Callithrix jacchus: one gene and its partners. The protein of the gene in region 3 binds, or shares a complex with, the protein of the main gene of each other region. Links are inferred from orthologs where the notes say so. Each region holds a gene or a part of one and is shown on either strand. Other genes may lie near its edges.

Region 1 (3,566 bases), on a different chromosome or scaffold from region 3:
TCTCCTGAACAGAAGGCAGTGAGCCTGAGTCCCTCCTGAGCCAGAATCCCTCCTGAGCTCCAGATCCTCACACACTAGGACGTGCCTTTCCCTCCTGGGACAGGGTCTTATGCTCACAGGCCATGCCTTCTTTAGCTCTGGACCAAGGCCTCTTCCTTTTCCTGTCTAGCTCAGCTCAGTGCCTCCCTCTGTCTTGCTTTCTGTAGACCTTGCATGCTGGGCCCACTTTATCCTCGGATCCCCGAGAGCATCAGGGAAAGATCCTGGTCCATCCTCTCAGAGCTGAGGGCTAGATCAGTGCCCTGGCTCTGAGCATCACTGGCAGGGTAGGAGCAGTTCTCTCTCTTAAGGAGGCCTGCAGATTGCCACTCCCACTGCAGTGGGAAAGAAAGGTTACAGGTGGGAGCTCCAGGAGGATTGGGAGGGGAGGGAAGTGGAGCGAGCTTTGGCGAGGGTGTGGGGGGAGGAGTTGGAGGTGCAGAGCGGAGCAGGCAGGAAACAGCACTTCTGGGAGCCACCGGGCACAGGACGTGCTGGCCCATTCTTAGCACAGGCAACGCCAGGGCCTGAGCTGCCCTTAGCTTTGAGCTGTGACAGAGAGGACAAGGGAGCTGGGATGTGGGTTATGCTCCTCTTCTTCACCAAGCTGAAGCTTGGTGCCCTGTTGTTTGTACTGTCTGCAGTGGGCAGAGGGAACCAACATTTCATGAGCACTGACTGTGTGCTGGGTGCTTTGCGTGTTTTGCTTCATGGAGAGATGTATCTGTGGGGACAAGGAAATTCCCCAGGGTCTCCTCCCCAGCTCCTCTAAACATCTCTTCCCCCTTTTGTCACAGAGAACAAAGCCTCACAGGAAAATGCCCTTAGAGGGTAGGGATTGAATTCACCCTGAGATGCTGAAGATGGACATGGAGCCCTCCTTCAGCAGAGGCTTTGGTGAGGCCAGCAGGGGAGAAGGGGTGTGGGGATCCAGTACCTGAGTCCTCAAAGGCTGTGGGGGGAAGGGGAGTGAGGTTGCAGAGAAGGGTGAGGCCCCCACAACAAATGCAGGCCCCCAAGACTAGATGCCTAGATTAGATCCTCTCCTATGTAAAGCCAGCCCTTGAGGCCAGCACATCAAATCCAGGGCTGAGCAAGCTGCCCTGAGCACAGAAGGCAGCAGTGCAGGCCTCGTGAGCTGAGGGATGCCCCAGTGCTGCCTCTGGGTGGCTAAACCAGCCACCTTGCAGAAAGGAAAGCAGACAGGGGGATGGTCTTTCTAACTTGCCTGTCATCTGACACAATTAAATGCCTGGCCCTAGGGGCTTGCATGCAGCCACTTGAAAATGGGCCCTCTGGGGGGATGGGCAGGCCCACGGCAGGTACCTGCTTCTTGGATGGACACTTTTCCAGGGGTTTGGTGAGAAGCTTCCACTTCTCTTACTATTTTCTGAGCTGGAGGGCAGGCATGTCAGGAGGCTGACATGCTGGGGCGCTGTGCCGCCGGCTGGGAGCCACTGTCCTACTCTGGAAAAGCAGCACAGTTAAGCGGGACTAGGCACCTCTCTCAGCCCCACCAGGGAACGCTGGAGCTGCTGATGCTGACAGGGAGGAGCTCTGCAGGGGCCCAGGGTGGGAGGGAAGTCCCACCATCCCAGCATGTCAGAGCAGTGCATCCTAGAGCACAGGGGATCAGAGGACAAGGAGAAAATACAGCAGGGTGGCCAGCCTCCCGCTTACCTCTGGGAGCTGAGCTTCCAGGCCACCTCCTGCACCCGGATGGCAGGGGACAAGGGGGGCCCATGGCCCTCCACAGTGCTGACCGTGCTGGGGTGGCCAGTGGGGCGGGGGAGGCGGCCCAGGGCGGTGTTGTTGGCATTGTTGATGTTGGCATTGGAGCCGGTGGACGAGTAGCTGCTGGGAGTGAAGGTGGAATCCACCAGCTTCTCGTGGGAAGGCGACTCTGTGTCACCCTGGCTGCTGCCTGCCTTGTTGATGTGCAGCGGGCGCTGAGTGGTGAAGGTCTGGGGGAAGGCGCTCCGGCCGTCACTTTGGTAGTAGCTGACGTGGTTGCCGAAGAGGCCACCGGCCCTCTGTAGGCAAGAAGGACAGGTGGGTGGAGGAGAAGCCCCTCAGTGTCCACCCCTCCCAGAGAGCAGCTTCCACAGTCTGGCCAGTGGAATGCAGGGCCCGGGAAGGCGGGCTGCCTTCCTTTGGGGAGGCACAGCCCTGCTGGGAGCCAGGAGCACCTGAGGTCCTTCTTCATACCTGGCTGCTCCAGAGTGGGAGGGACCCACAGTCTCAAGGCTCCGGGCTCCCCTCTGCGGTAGCTGGGAGAACCCACACACTGGTAGGGATGGGACTGTGCAAGAGGCTCCCGCTGGTATAAGCTGCCCTGGAGGTTTCCAGTGAAGTCCCTGAAGGCTGGGAGCGAGTTTCCAGGGCACATCTAGGACAGCGGTCCCTGAGAGCAGCCAGCACACCGTGAGGGTGGGGGCTGGGAAAACGACCAGAAGATTCTAACCAGATTAAAAATCAATAAATCTGATGTGCTCACGGAGCTAAAAGCTGTGTCGGCCAAACGGTTTTGAAAATGAGGAATTTCCTGCATGATGCTCTTTTTCCCCTCAGGGATTCACAGATAGTTCAAGCCAAGAGCCAGTGTTTTCCCTGAGTATCTTCTCCTTGTCCTGGGGAAGTGGGCAAGGAGCTATTTGCAAGGTTGCAAACTTTGACACCAGAACATCCCTGGGCCTTGGTGACTGAGCCTTTGATTTCTGGGATCATGTCAGGTGGAGTCACAATCATGCCATGTCCCTGAGGCTACTTAGTGACGAATGTCTCAGGTGATGAGGATAAGGATAAGGAAGAGAAGGAGCAGGGGCAGGATGGGCTCGGCTTGCCTCCTGTGTGTTCCACAGCCTGGGAACTGGGCCCTGGGCTGGGAGCAGGTGTGAACAGGGCCCTGCACGATTATGACTGGCAACTTCTCCCTTGCTATAGGAGGAGTTTTAACCAAATACCAGCGGGGTGAGGCAGGTAACACATGTGAGGTATAAATGCCCCTTATTCCGGTACAGCTGTGTTTAATTTTCACTATTGCAACTGCTGGGCAGCTTCAGTCTCCAGGAAGGGAGAGGGAAGGGGGAGGACTGGAGGGGCTTGGAGATCTGCAGAACACATGCTATGCTCCATCTCAAGGGGCAGCTGCCACTAGGCTCCAGCCCTCTGCTGCCCTGCCGGAATGCAAGCTCAAAATTGCAGGTCTCCTGACTTTTCCAAGGAATGCCAGGAGTCTTGATTTTGACCTGAATGTGCCAGATTTTCAAATAGTAGCAAACCAAACAAGCCTGCAGATTAGATATGCCCAGGGTGACCACTTTATAACTTCTGATATAGAAGTTTCTCTTCTCCTAGGAAACATTTCCCTTGGGGAGACACTGTGAAATGCCGTTTCCAGGGAGCCCTGCCTTGGGACGGAGTCAGGCTTGGAAAAGGCAAAGGGGTGAGGACACAGCTGATCAGGAAGAGCCTGGAAGTGGCCCTGTCCTCTGGTGCGGCTCTTTCCCCTGGACGTTCTCCGCAAA
Region 2 (4,115 bases), on a different chromosome or scaffold from region 3:
AGGAGCTGTTCACTTAAAAAAAAAAAAAAAAGAGATGGCATGAAACCATCTGTAGGCTTGCCCATTCCCTCATGTTCCATAAAGGGCACTTACAGAGATCTTTGACACAAGCATACTGCTGATTGCTGTAGAGTGGGGAACTATAGGCCCGACGGAAACCAGGTGGCTGTAGGGTGGAATAGGAGGAATCATTAGAGGTAGCAAGGTAGGCTAGAAGCCCATCTCTCTCATAAGTGGTCATCCTTTCTCAGAAAAAGAGATGGGCTAAGAAAGAAAAAGAGAAATGAATGGGATGGAGGAGGGACCAGCAAGGGGTAGCTGGTGATACGGCCCCACCTTTCTACACCTTGTTCCCCGGAGCCTACTCACGATCTTGCCAAAGCATCTCTGCATTTCCACATAGGACTGACAGTGTTCATGGATGTTGGTTTTGCAGTTCTTACAGCGAAGCCCAAACTTGTTATTGACTTGGGAGAGGGGGAGAAAATTCAGATAAGGTTCCAGGTTGCCCTTTCCCTTTGTACCACTGCTGCTACACTTAGGTTCCCTTTTCTGTCTAGGACCCTACTCTCACAATCTCTAATAGCACTGCCTTACAGCAACTCTAGCCGCAGCCCGTCTGCTACAAATACTCCTCTCCTATACCCTCTCCCCCAACCCCTGCCTTCAACATCATACTCTCTTCACTTCCCTTCATGACTCACGAACAATCATCCGGGCACAGACATCACAGAACTTTGGCTTCTTGAAGAAGTGATCTTTGAATTTGTGGGGCTTATCGTTGACAAGCTTAGGAGGTTCTGGGGGTGGCTCCTCCTCCTCCTCTTCTTCCTCCTCCTCTTCCTCATAGATGTAGTAGATGGGCCCACCCCCAGCTCCCACTGCCTCCCCATTGGCCTGGGGCTCTGGGGGAAGTTCCATGTCTTTTGTCCCTGTAGACCCCTTCCTGAGTAATTGCTTCAGCCGCTGTAGCTGAGGGAGGGAGTGAAGGAAACCCAGTGTTAAAAGGACTTGTCACCCTCTCTAGAGTACAGGGGCACTAGAGCAAACTAGACAGTTTTCTAGTTAGGGGTAAGGAATGTACCCTAGGATTAGGGGGGCTGCAGGTGGCCAGCAAAAAATGAGTCATACACAAATGTGATCAATTTAAGCACTCTTCAGCTATAATGGCTTCCCGCTCCCCACACCCAGTGGTCAGAGGCCCAGACTCACCCCACTTTGCCGAGTCTCTGCGGGGAAGGAGGGTTTAGGGGACTCCAGCACCTCCTTTTCTGTCATCCTGCAAGAGGTTGGACCCCACTATGAAATCTAATCCCTTTCATTCTTCTCTCTCTTATTTCTGTCCCTTGCAGTAGGGTGGTCCTCAAAGGGGAGGCTTTTGGAGAAATGTGGTTTCATATATATATATATATATATATTTTTTTTTTTTTTTTTTTTGCAATGAGGTCTCACTCTGTCACCCAGGTTGGAGTGCAGTGGTGTGATCACGGCTCACTGCAGTCTTGATCTCCCAGGCTGAAGCGATCCCCCTACCTCAGCTTCCTGAGTAGCTGGGACTACAAAGTGTATACTACCTGGCTACTTTTTTATTTTTTGTAGAAGCAGGGCCTTGCTTTGTTGCCTAGGCTGGTCCTGAACTAGCTCAAGCAGTTCTTCCATTTCAGCCTCCCAAAGGGTTGAGATTCCAGGCATGAGGCACTGCTCCAGGCCAAATACAAATCCTTTGGCAGTGTTTATTAACAGATAGATTTCATGGAGGTCTAGAAAAAAGCCCAACATGGCTGGGCGTGGTGGCTCACACCTGTAATCCCAGCACTTTGGGAGGCTGAGATGGGTGGATCACTAGGGGTCAGGAGTTTGAGACCAGCCTGGCCAACATGGTGAAACCCCATCTCTACTAAATATTAAAAAATGAGCCGAGTATGGTGGCAGACACCTGTAATCCCAGCTACTTGAGAGGTTGAGGAAGGAGAATTGCTTGAACCTGGGAGGCGAAGGTTGCAGTGAGCCAGGATTGCGCCACTGCACTCCAGCGTGGTTCTAGAGCAAGACTCTGTCTCAAAAAAAAAAAAAAAAAAAAAGAAAAACAAAAAAGCCCAACAAACGGAAGTCCCCAGTTAGTTCCTCAAACTGATACTTATCCTTCCATCCTGAGGGGTGACCCCAGAGTTTACAGCCCTTACACAGTGTTCACTGCTGAATGATTTACGTTATTTTCTTATAGGTACTTTGTTTCTCCTGGGAACCTGTGGGCAACAGGTATGTGATGCATACCTTCCCAGATCTCCTCTCTTCAAGAGGTTTAATGGGTGTCCTTGTGTGTGCACAAGGAAGGATGGACTGGAGATTTGTCCTCCCCTACTTCTTTCTTGAGCCCTGGGGGCACTGTGCCTAGTGCTGTCCCAGCCTGCTTCAGGGCTCAGCTATTTTAAGTTTTCAGGGTAATATGAGCCTTTCCTTCCCTTACTACTCCATTCCCTTCACCCCACCCCCACCCTTACCCCACCCTCCAATCCTAACTCATCCTAGAGTAGAATAATAATTTGACTCCTAAAACCCAGATGATTCACAACAAGGAGAGAAATGAAGAAGTTAAATAGATTACTGGCCAGGGCAGCTGGGGTGAGCAGCTGTGGAAATGGAAAGAGGATGAAGAGGTAACTTACGTTTGGGATTCCCTAAATCAGTCAGTCCACAGAATGTAGAGGAAGTTGGGAACCCCGAGGCCTTGATGGTGGTGCTGGGGAAAAACCAGTCCTCTTCCTTGGGGGCTAAGCCCCCCCAGTACCCTCTGTGTTCACACCAGCTACCCAGACGCTATTTGTAGACCTCCTAGCCTCTTGCGTTGGTGTCAGGGCTGAAATGACAGGGCTGGAGGAAAGTAGACAGCTGAGCAACACAGCTGACACAGAGAAATTGGACACTGAGAGGTCTGGGGCAGGGTTGGACCCTAACTCCTCCCATCCCCCAGAGCTGCTGTTCCTTGATTCTTTATCTTTGGCCAACAGGTTAATAACAGCTGAAATCAAGAAGGGACAGTTTCTGTTCATGCTCACTTAAGGGGAGTTTATTTTTATATTTCATTTATTTTTTGAGACAGGGTTAAAAAAAAAAAAAGACTAATGTGAACTCTCAGAGCTCTCCTATCAGCCACACTAGATTGCTTTTTTTTTTTTTTTTAAAGATGGAGTCTCACTCTTGTCGCCCAGGGGAGTGCAGTGAAGTGATCTGGCAGGTTCACTACAAACTTCACCTCCTGGGTTCAAGTGATTCTCCTGCCTCAGCCTTCCAAGTACCTGAGATTACAGGTGCCCACCACCATGCCTGGCTAATTCTTGTATTTTTAGTAGAGACAGGGTTTTACCATGTTGGCCAGGCTGGTCTTGAACCCCTGACCTCAGGTGATCCACCCGCCTCAGCATCCCAAAGTGCTGGGATTACAGGTGTGAGCCACCAAGCCCAGCTAGATTGCTTTTTTCTAAAAAAAATATATTTTATTGCATTTCAGGTTTTGGGGTACATGTGAAAAACATGCAAGATTGTTGCATAGGTACATACATGGCAATATGCTTTGCTGCCTTCCTCCCCAACACATATATCTGATGTTTCTCCCCATGTTATCCCTTCCCAACTCTCCACTGTCCCTCCCCTAGTTCCCCCCGACAGACCCCAGTGTCTGATGCTCCCCTCCCTGTGTCCATGTGTTCTCATTGTTCAACACCCACCTATGAGTGAGAACGTGCAGTGTTTGATTTTCTGTTCTTGTGTCAGTTTGCTGAGAAAGATGGTTTCCAGGTTCACCCATGTCCCTACAAAGGACACAAACTCATCGTTTATGGCTGCATAGTATTCCATGGTGTATATGTGCCACATTTTCCCTGTCCAGTCTACCATCGATGGGCATTTGGGTTGGTTCCAAGTCTTTGCTATTGTAAACAGTGCTGCCATGAACATTCGTGTGCATGTGTCCTTATAGTAGAATGATTTATAATCCTTTGGATATATACCCAGTAATGGGATTGCTGGGTCAAATGGAATTTCTATTTCCAGGTCCTTGAGGAATCACTACACTGTCTTCCAAAATGGTAGAACTAATTTACACTCCCACCAACAGT
Region 3 (3,566 bases):
AAAAATAATGCTTCACAGCTACAAAATGGGTAAGAGAAAACAGGCTTTGTCTGAAGTAACGAGAGCTTGAGAATACCCTACAGTTTCCATTTAGGGGACAAGGAGCCTCACCGTGTAGCATTTTGGGTGGCCAATGGCAAAGGCTCTACACATGACCACTGGCTGCAGTGTCCAATGGGTGAGATGCTAAAGTCTGACTGATGGAGAAGGCAAGAACATTGGGAGAATATTTATATATGACAATAGGAAAAACTCACAGTAAACCGCCAAAACAAGCCTGCAGTTTTCCACTGGTCTTGTTCATCTGCAGATTTTGCACCTAGTGGATTAGAAGTTTAAATACTGACTAAATTAAAACTTGAATTTCTTTTTAGTACAAGCTATGTATCTGGATATCATTAATCAGAATCTAATAACTGCTTTAATATGCTTGATCATAAGTTAAATTTCTGGAAGACAGACAGACAGACAGAATAAGCATGCACAGTTAAGGTGCATTATATGGAGCTGTCGGTGTTTGACATCCTTGAATGTTGAAACAAATTCCCTTGGTGGTAGATATTATTCCATCAAAAAGGATAAGTACTGTAATGGTGTTTTAACAGGTCACTCCCTGAATTTAGTTGCTTTGAAATGCATAAGCTCAATTAGCTGTTGATAGGTTCTTTGCTTGGGACAGAAATGATTGTATTTCATACAACTGTGGGAATTAATGCTAATGATGCCAGTGGCAGGATAAACGCAGCTTATGTCAATGTAAACTTACCGATTTCTGCTTCTGCTTAGCTACAGCAGCATGGAAAGGAAACAAATAACAGAGCATGCACGTTATTGGCTTGTCAAAGGACGCAGACAGTCAACAGGACTAGCAATGTGACACAGTGCACTTCAGCAGGTGGACAACGGGAGCTCGGAAGTTAATGTTACCTTCTTAAAGAAGGGCATTCTTTTCTCTTTGGAGTGGGGTGACGTTACACTGTTTGCACTGGGTTTAGGGGAGCGGTGGTTTGCTGGAATATCATTTTCTTCTGCATCTAAGCCAGTAGCATCTATGTCTATAGCTATATACAGACAAACAATTCAAAAATCATCAGGAGGACAGGAGAGGAAAAATAGGTTATAAAGAAAATAAAACGAAAGCAAATAAAACCAACCATAGTAAAAATAAATAAATAAATAAATAAAACTATCATGAATGCTTAAAACAGTAGGCAAAGAAAATAAAATTTAAAGGTAAAGCATGTTAAGAATGCAATGTAACCAAATCTAACAAAACTGAAAGACACCCTTATAATCTGCTTGAATTAATCCATTTCATGCTAGAACTATTGAATATTTTCAGAGAAACATTTTATATCTGTAGTTTCACATGTAAAGTTGATATTCTCCTTATCAACTGTATAAAAGTGCAGCATAGAACATTTGACTACATATCTTATAGTATCTTAAACCAGCTTTGAGATAACAAGCAACTACTTTTTGAAAACTTTTATTATAGGTGAGTGCAAAAGTAATTGCGGTTTTTGCATTGTTGGAATTAGCTGTTTGCTATTGGAATACATTCTTAAATAAACGTGGTTACGTTATATATCATTTTAGTGGGCATTTCTCACTTTATGCTTTTTTGCTAACGACATTACTTGCTGTTTATGTTTATTTTAGACTATGGAAATGATGTTAGACCACAAGCAAATTTGATTGATTCTCTTATTCGAGTTCAAAATGGGTTGTAAAGCACTGGAGACGACTTGCAACATCAGCAGCGCATGTGGCCCAGGAACTGCTAATGAACGAGCAGTGTGGTGGTGGTTCAAGAAGCTTTGCAAAGGAGACAAGAGCCATGAAGACGTGGAGCATAGTGGCTGGCCACTGGAAGTTGACAACGGCCACTGGAGAGCCATCACTGAAGCTGATTCTCTTACAACTACATGAGAAGTTGCTGAAGAACTCAACGTGGACTATTCTACGGTGGTTCGGCATTTGAAGCAAATTGGAAAGGTGAAAAAGCTCAATAAGTGGGCGCCTCATGAGCAGAGTGACAATAAAACAAAATCGTTGTTGGGAAGCATCGTCTTCTCTTGTTCTATGTAACAACAATGAACCATTTATCCATCAGATTGTCACGTGCAACAAAAAGTGTATTTTATATGACAATCAGTGACAACCAGCTCAGCTGATGGACTGAGGAGCTCCAAAGCACCTCCCAAAGCCAAGTTTCCACCAAAAAAGGTCACGGTCACTGTTGGGTGGTCTGCTGCTGGTCTGATCCACTGCAGTTCTCTGAATCTCAGCGAAAATATGCCATCTGAGAACTATGCTCAGCAGATCGATGAGATGCACCGAAAACTCCAGTGCCTGCAGCCGGCGTTGATCAACAGAAGCGGCCTGGTTCTTCTCCACAACAACGCCTGACCGCACATCATGCAACCGGCGCTTCAGAAGTCAAATGAATTGGACTATGAAGTTTTGCCTCATCTGCCATATTCACCCGACCTCTCCAACTGACTACCCCTTCTTCAAGCACCTCAACAACTTTTTGCAAGGAAAACGCTTCCATAATCAGCAGGATGCAGAAAATGCTTTCCAAGAGTTTGTCGCATCCCAAAGCACGGATTTTTATGCTATAGGAATAAACAAACTTATTTCTCATTGGCAAAAATGTGTTCTTTGTAATGGTTCCTATTTTGATTTATAAAGATGTATTTCAGCCTAGTTATGATTTGAAATCCATGGTCCAAAACCGCAATTACATTTGTAGCAATAATACAATGTGCCTCCTTTTGCTGCTTTTATGTAAAAATCAGGGCAGTATGAAAAGTTTCACTAAAATTGCAACAAACATTTGAGAGAAAGAGAGAATGGAAAACCCAGTCATACACAAGGCAAATGATTCAGGGTGGGCTCCAGGAAGGACAGGATTAAAAGGATTTAGGTCTCATGAAGACTAATGGGAAAATACTGGGTCCCAAGATATCCGAATGAAATCAGTCTAATAAAATGACACTGAAAGACTTCTGGTGACTTATGCAAAGCCACTGGCTTTAACAGAAGTGGCAGAATGGAAGGGCACGAGGACCCCAGAGGATATGCACTGGCTTCCTTATCTGTAAAATGAAGGGTTTAGCTTTGTCGCTTGGAGTGCTTTTACTTTTCCCATTGTTCCACCTGAAAATAGAGGACTTAAAAAGTGTTACGAGAAAAAAAGATGCATAATCTCACTTCAAATTTTACAAAATGCTCCCAGGTACAATTGAAAGAGCTACAGAATTTTATCAACTGCAGAATCAGAGTTGGAAGTATTTTAAAGATAACTTCAACGGTCTTATTTTTAAGATTAAAAATCTCAGGCAGGGCGCAGTGGCTCACACCTCTAATCCCAGCACTTTGGGAGGCCGAGGCGGGTGGATCACGAGGTCAAGAGATCGAGACCATCCTGGTCAACATGGTGAAACCCCATCTCTACTAAAAATACAAAGAATTAGCTGGGCATGGTGGTGCGTGCCTGTAATCCCAGCTACTCAAGAGGCTGAGGCAGGAGAATCGCCTGAACCCAGGAGGCGGAGGTT
Region 4 (3,435 bases), on a different chromosome or scaffold from region 3:
CCAGCAAGATCTCCAGTGTTCAAGGCAAGGATCCCAGCTGCCGCTCACATCTGAACTCCACTTTGGAAAGCTGGACAAGTATTGTGGGGTTTTGGAAGGCAGAAGAGTGCAAATCATGGCTCTCCATGTGGCCCTTAGTGTCTAACTGCTAAGCCCTGATTCCTGATGTTCTTCACAACAAAAACCTGGCATCAGAAATCAGACACGGGCTGGCTGCTTCAGCGCTGCGTCGGCACCAGGTGCGTCCATGGCAGGCTCTAGAAATAACCCCTCCTATTTTTAACACCCTTGCTTCATCAGAGGGTTTCTAGTTTCTCCCGAAAACAACCCCAGGGCCTGGAGATATGAGTTGGAATTCAGAGCCTCTAAGCCACGTGTGTGGCCCTCTTGTCCCCACAAAAGTCCTCAGCATACCCAGGTGACCTGCTTTCCCTTCTCATTTGGGGTCAGGGGGCCCCTGGGATGTGGCTGAGAATCCAAGTGATTTCAATGCGAGGCGCAAGGAAAACATGAGTTTTCTGAGAGCTTTTTATTTCTAGCCACAGTCAGATTCTACCCAGTTAAAAATGCTTCCCAGGGCTCCTGGAAGCCAAGGAGGGGACGTTCGGCTCATCAGAGAGGATGTGTTTTATCACTGAGTAGGAGAGGCTGGTCCTCATTTTATCGTGAGTAGAAAGGCTGGCTATTTACATGGAGCACCCAGAACTGGCAAACACAGGTTGTCCCTGCGACGTTCATAAAGGACAACTGGAGGCAAATAATCAGAGGCTGGTACAGTGGGGACACCTCTAAGCTCCAGGGGACACTGGGTCCCTGCAAACACCTGTCCACCTGCTGGTCCTGCCTTCCCCGACTGTGGTCAGGTTGGGACTCAGGTCCTTTTGCTCTATTCCCAGGGGCGCCTGCGGCAGCCCAGGGGAGCTCAGAGAGAGGAAGCAGCCCGTGACTGTCACGGGTTGGGGGTGGGGGTGCAAATGGGAGCAGGGTGGAGCTAAAATTATTCCGGCCTCCTCTCTGGAAGGTTCCAGGCTGAGACCCAGCTTCCTGGGGAAGAAGCCTGAGGGTCACCGGGGCTGCAGGAAGTCTAGTGCTCAGGCTCAGCATCCATGCAGGACTCCCAGGGGTTCCGGGGCATTCGAGGCAGGGAGAATAGCAGGAGGGCGACACCGCCAAGGAAGAGGAGGACAAAGGCGGCACAGGAGCAGGCGAAGGACCAGGAGTAATAGTACTCAATCCAGACGGTGTCCTCACTGTCAATCATGCGCTTCACTGACTGCCTCATGACCTCCACTGAGACGAGGATGCAGAGACCTGGGGGCAGAACCAGAGACGCTCAGGGACCAAAGGGCCCCTGCCTTGCCCCCAGCCCCACCCTAGCCTGTGTACTTGGAGGAGGCAGTGATCTTGCCTCAGGGGAAAAGCCACCTCAAGGCAGTTTCTAGCTGGGAACCTGCAGAAGGATCCATTTGTCCACCCACCACCCAATCCTGCATCCCTCAGAAGGGTGACCACATGGCCAGGTGTGGCGGCTCATGCCTGTAATCCCAGCACTTTGGGAGGCTGAGACGGGAGGATCGCTTGAGGCCAGGAGCTTGAGACCAGCCTGGGCAACATAGTGATGAGACCTCTGTCTCTATAAAAAATTAAAATAAAAAATTAGCCAAGAGTGGTGCTGCACATCTGTAGTCCCAGCTACTTGGGAGGCTGGGGTGGGAGGAACCCTTGAACCCAGGAGTTTGAGGCTGCAGTGAGCTGTGATTGCGCCACTGCACTCCAGCCTGGAGAACAGAGTGAGACTTTCTTCCTCATCCCTCAAGAAAAAGTAAGAAAGGCAACCACATTTCTTTCCTTCTTTTGTCCATCATTCTCTGGGGGGTTTCTTTGGGGCCTTGAGGGCTGTGGGGAGGAATGGACAAACCGCCCAGCTCTCTCTCCCTCTAACCCACCTGGAGTCACTGAGGGCCTGGCAGGTTTGCCCCTGGTTGGGGATGGAGCCTGCGGAATGCCCCCTACCCAAATCCCGCGGTAGGCATGAGAGTGGAGCAGAGAGTCCCCCATGACATGGTCCTCCAGCCCTGCGTTTGGGCAGGGTCCCCAGTCTACCTGCAAAGGCGTAGAACATGGACGCAGGCCGCAGCAGGTAGTCCCTCTTATTCTGGAGGGACAGGAGGACACAGAGGCTGCCTAGGATGATGAAGCCAAGGCTGAAGATGGCGATGGCGGCCGCCGAGATGCTGTACTCTGCGAACACAAGGGACATGCAGCATGCGGCCTCAGCCTGGGAGCTCTCGTCGTGGCTGGTTAGGGACAACGCCTGCACCACAGTTCCCATTTCACACGTGGGAAAGCTGACAGCCCGGGGGACCGAGTCCTGCCCTAAGGCCCACGCAGAGCCAGGCTGCCCCAGGGCTTCTTTCACCCCTGTCTTTCCAGAGCACCAGGCTGCAAGGTCCGCAACGGGGCAGGGGCGAGAGGCAGGTGGCCGGAGACCTTTCTAGAGCAGAAATTGTCCTCCGATCAACAGGGAGGAGGCAATGGGACAGTGGGGGGTCTGTCTTGGGGTTAAGGAGCAAAGGATGACAGAGTGGCTTGTCATCCAGCCTGGTGCACGTGAGGCTCTGCCAGTGTGCGTGGCAGTGTGTGAATGTGTGCATGTGTCTGTGTGGCAGTGTGTGTGTCTGTGTGTGGTTAGTGTGTCTGTATATTAGTGTATGTGCCACATGTGTGAGATCTGTCAGAATGTGTATCTGTGTATGTTAGTGTGTGCCTGTGTTGGTGTATGTGTGTGTTATATGTCTCTGTGTATGCTAGTATCTGGGTCTGTGTCAGTACGATGGTGTGTGTCACCCGGTGTGTCATGTGTGTCTGCATGTGCTCGTGTTACATGTTTCTGTGCATGGTAGTGTGTCCGTGTGTCATTACCTGTGTGTCATTGTGTCTTGTGTCATTGTGTGTGTCATTTTGTGTGTGTTATTGCCTGTGTATCACTGCATGTCATATGTAATTGTGTGTCATTATATGTGTCTCTGTATCTGTGTCTTGTGTGTGTAATCGTGTGTGTCAGTGTGTCTGTGTCTTATGTGTGTATCATTGTATGTGTGTGTCTTATGTGTGTATCATTGTGTGTCACTGTGTGTCTGTGTGTGTCTTGTATGTGTGTCATTCTGTCTTGTGTGTATGTCATTGTGTTTCTGTGTGTCACTCAATGCTTGTGTGTCATTGTGTGTGTACATGTGTGTCAGTGTGTATGTCATTGTATGTGTGTATCTGTGTGTGTGTGTATCAGTGTGTGTGAATGTGTGTCTGCCCACGCACACTGTGTGCAGCTATCTGGGTGCGGGCAGGCTCTGGTCTGTACTCCCGACAGTGGGTGTGCGCCTGAGCTCTGTTGATTTTGAAAAGCTCCCAGAGCCCACCATGGCCTCCTGCTACTCG

What was found.
Region 1: CACNB2 (region 3) and CACNA1C share a complex: the UniProt entries of both Homo sapiens proteins name them as parts of the calcium channel complex. The link is inferred for Callithrix jacchus from reciprocal best matches to the Homo sapiens genes CACNB2 and CACNA1C.
Region 2: CACNB2 (region 3) and STAC3 share a complex: the UniProt entries of both Homo sapiens proteins name them as parts of the calcium channel complex. The link is inferred for Callithrix jacchus from reciprocal best matches to the Homo sapiens genes CACNB2 and STAC3.
Region 4: CACNB2 (region 3) and CACNG1 share a complex: the UniProt entries of both Homo sapiens proteins name them as parts of the calcium channel complex. The link is inferred for Callithrix jacchus from reciprocal best matches to the Homo sapiens genes CACNB2 and CACNG1.

Annotation. Positions count from the first base shown.
Region 1 is NC_133510.1:15,911,555-15,915,120, reverse strand, and holds part of CACNA1C (voltage-dependent L-type calcium channel subunit alpha-1C), read right to left. Parts: intron 2,073-3,566; coding exon 1,720-2,072; intron 1-1,719. UniProt on the Homo sapiens protein: Pore-forming, alpha-1C subunit of the voltage-gated calcium channel that gives rise to L-type calcium currents. Mediates influx of calcium ions into the cytoplasm, and thereby triggers calcium release from the sarcoplasm.
Region 2 is NC_133510.1:62,453,346-62,457,460, reverse strand, and holds the start of STAC3 (SH3 and cysteine-rich domain-containing protein 3), read right to left. Parts: upstream 2,860-4,115; 5' UTR 2,667-2,859; intron 1,280-2,666; 5' UTR 1,279-1,279; coding exon 1,213-1,278; intron 973-1,212; coding exon 705-972; intron 468-704; coding exon 370-467; intron 167-369; coding exon 94-166; intron 1-93. UniProt on the Homo sapiens protein: Required for normal excitation-contraction coupling in skeletal muscle and for normal muscle contraction in response to membrane depolarization. Required for normal Ca(2+) release from the sarcplasmic reticulum, which ultimately leads to muscle contraction.
Region 3 is NC_133508.1:19,337,680-19,341,245, reverse strand, and holds part of CACNB2 (voltage-dependent L-type calcium channel subunit beta-2), read right to left. Parts: intron 1,062-3,566; coding exon 928-1,061; intron 787-927; coding exon of another isoform or gene 767-786; intron 320-766; coding exon of another isoform or gene 258-319; intron 1-257. UniProt on the Homo sapiens protein: Beta subunit of voltage-dependent calcium channels which contributes to the function of the calcium channel by increasing peak calcium current. Plays a role in shifting voltage dependencies of activation and inactivation of the channel.
Region 4 is NC_133506.1:122,252,538-122,255,972, forward strand, and holds the end of CACNG1 (voltage-dependent calcium channel gamma-1 subunit), read right to left. Parts: intron 2,242-3,435; coding exon 2,104-2,241; intron 1,312-2,103; coding exon 1,085-1,311; 3' UTR 515-1,084; downstream 1-514. UniProt on the Homo sapiens protein: Regulatory subunit of the voltage-gated calcium channel that gives rise to L-type calcium currents in skeletal muscle. Regulates channel inactivation kinetics.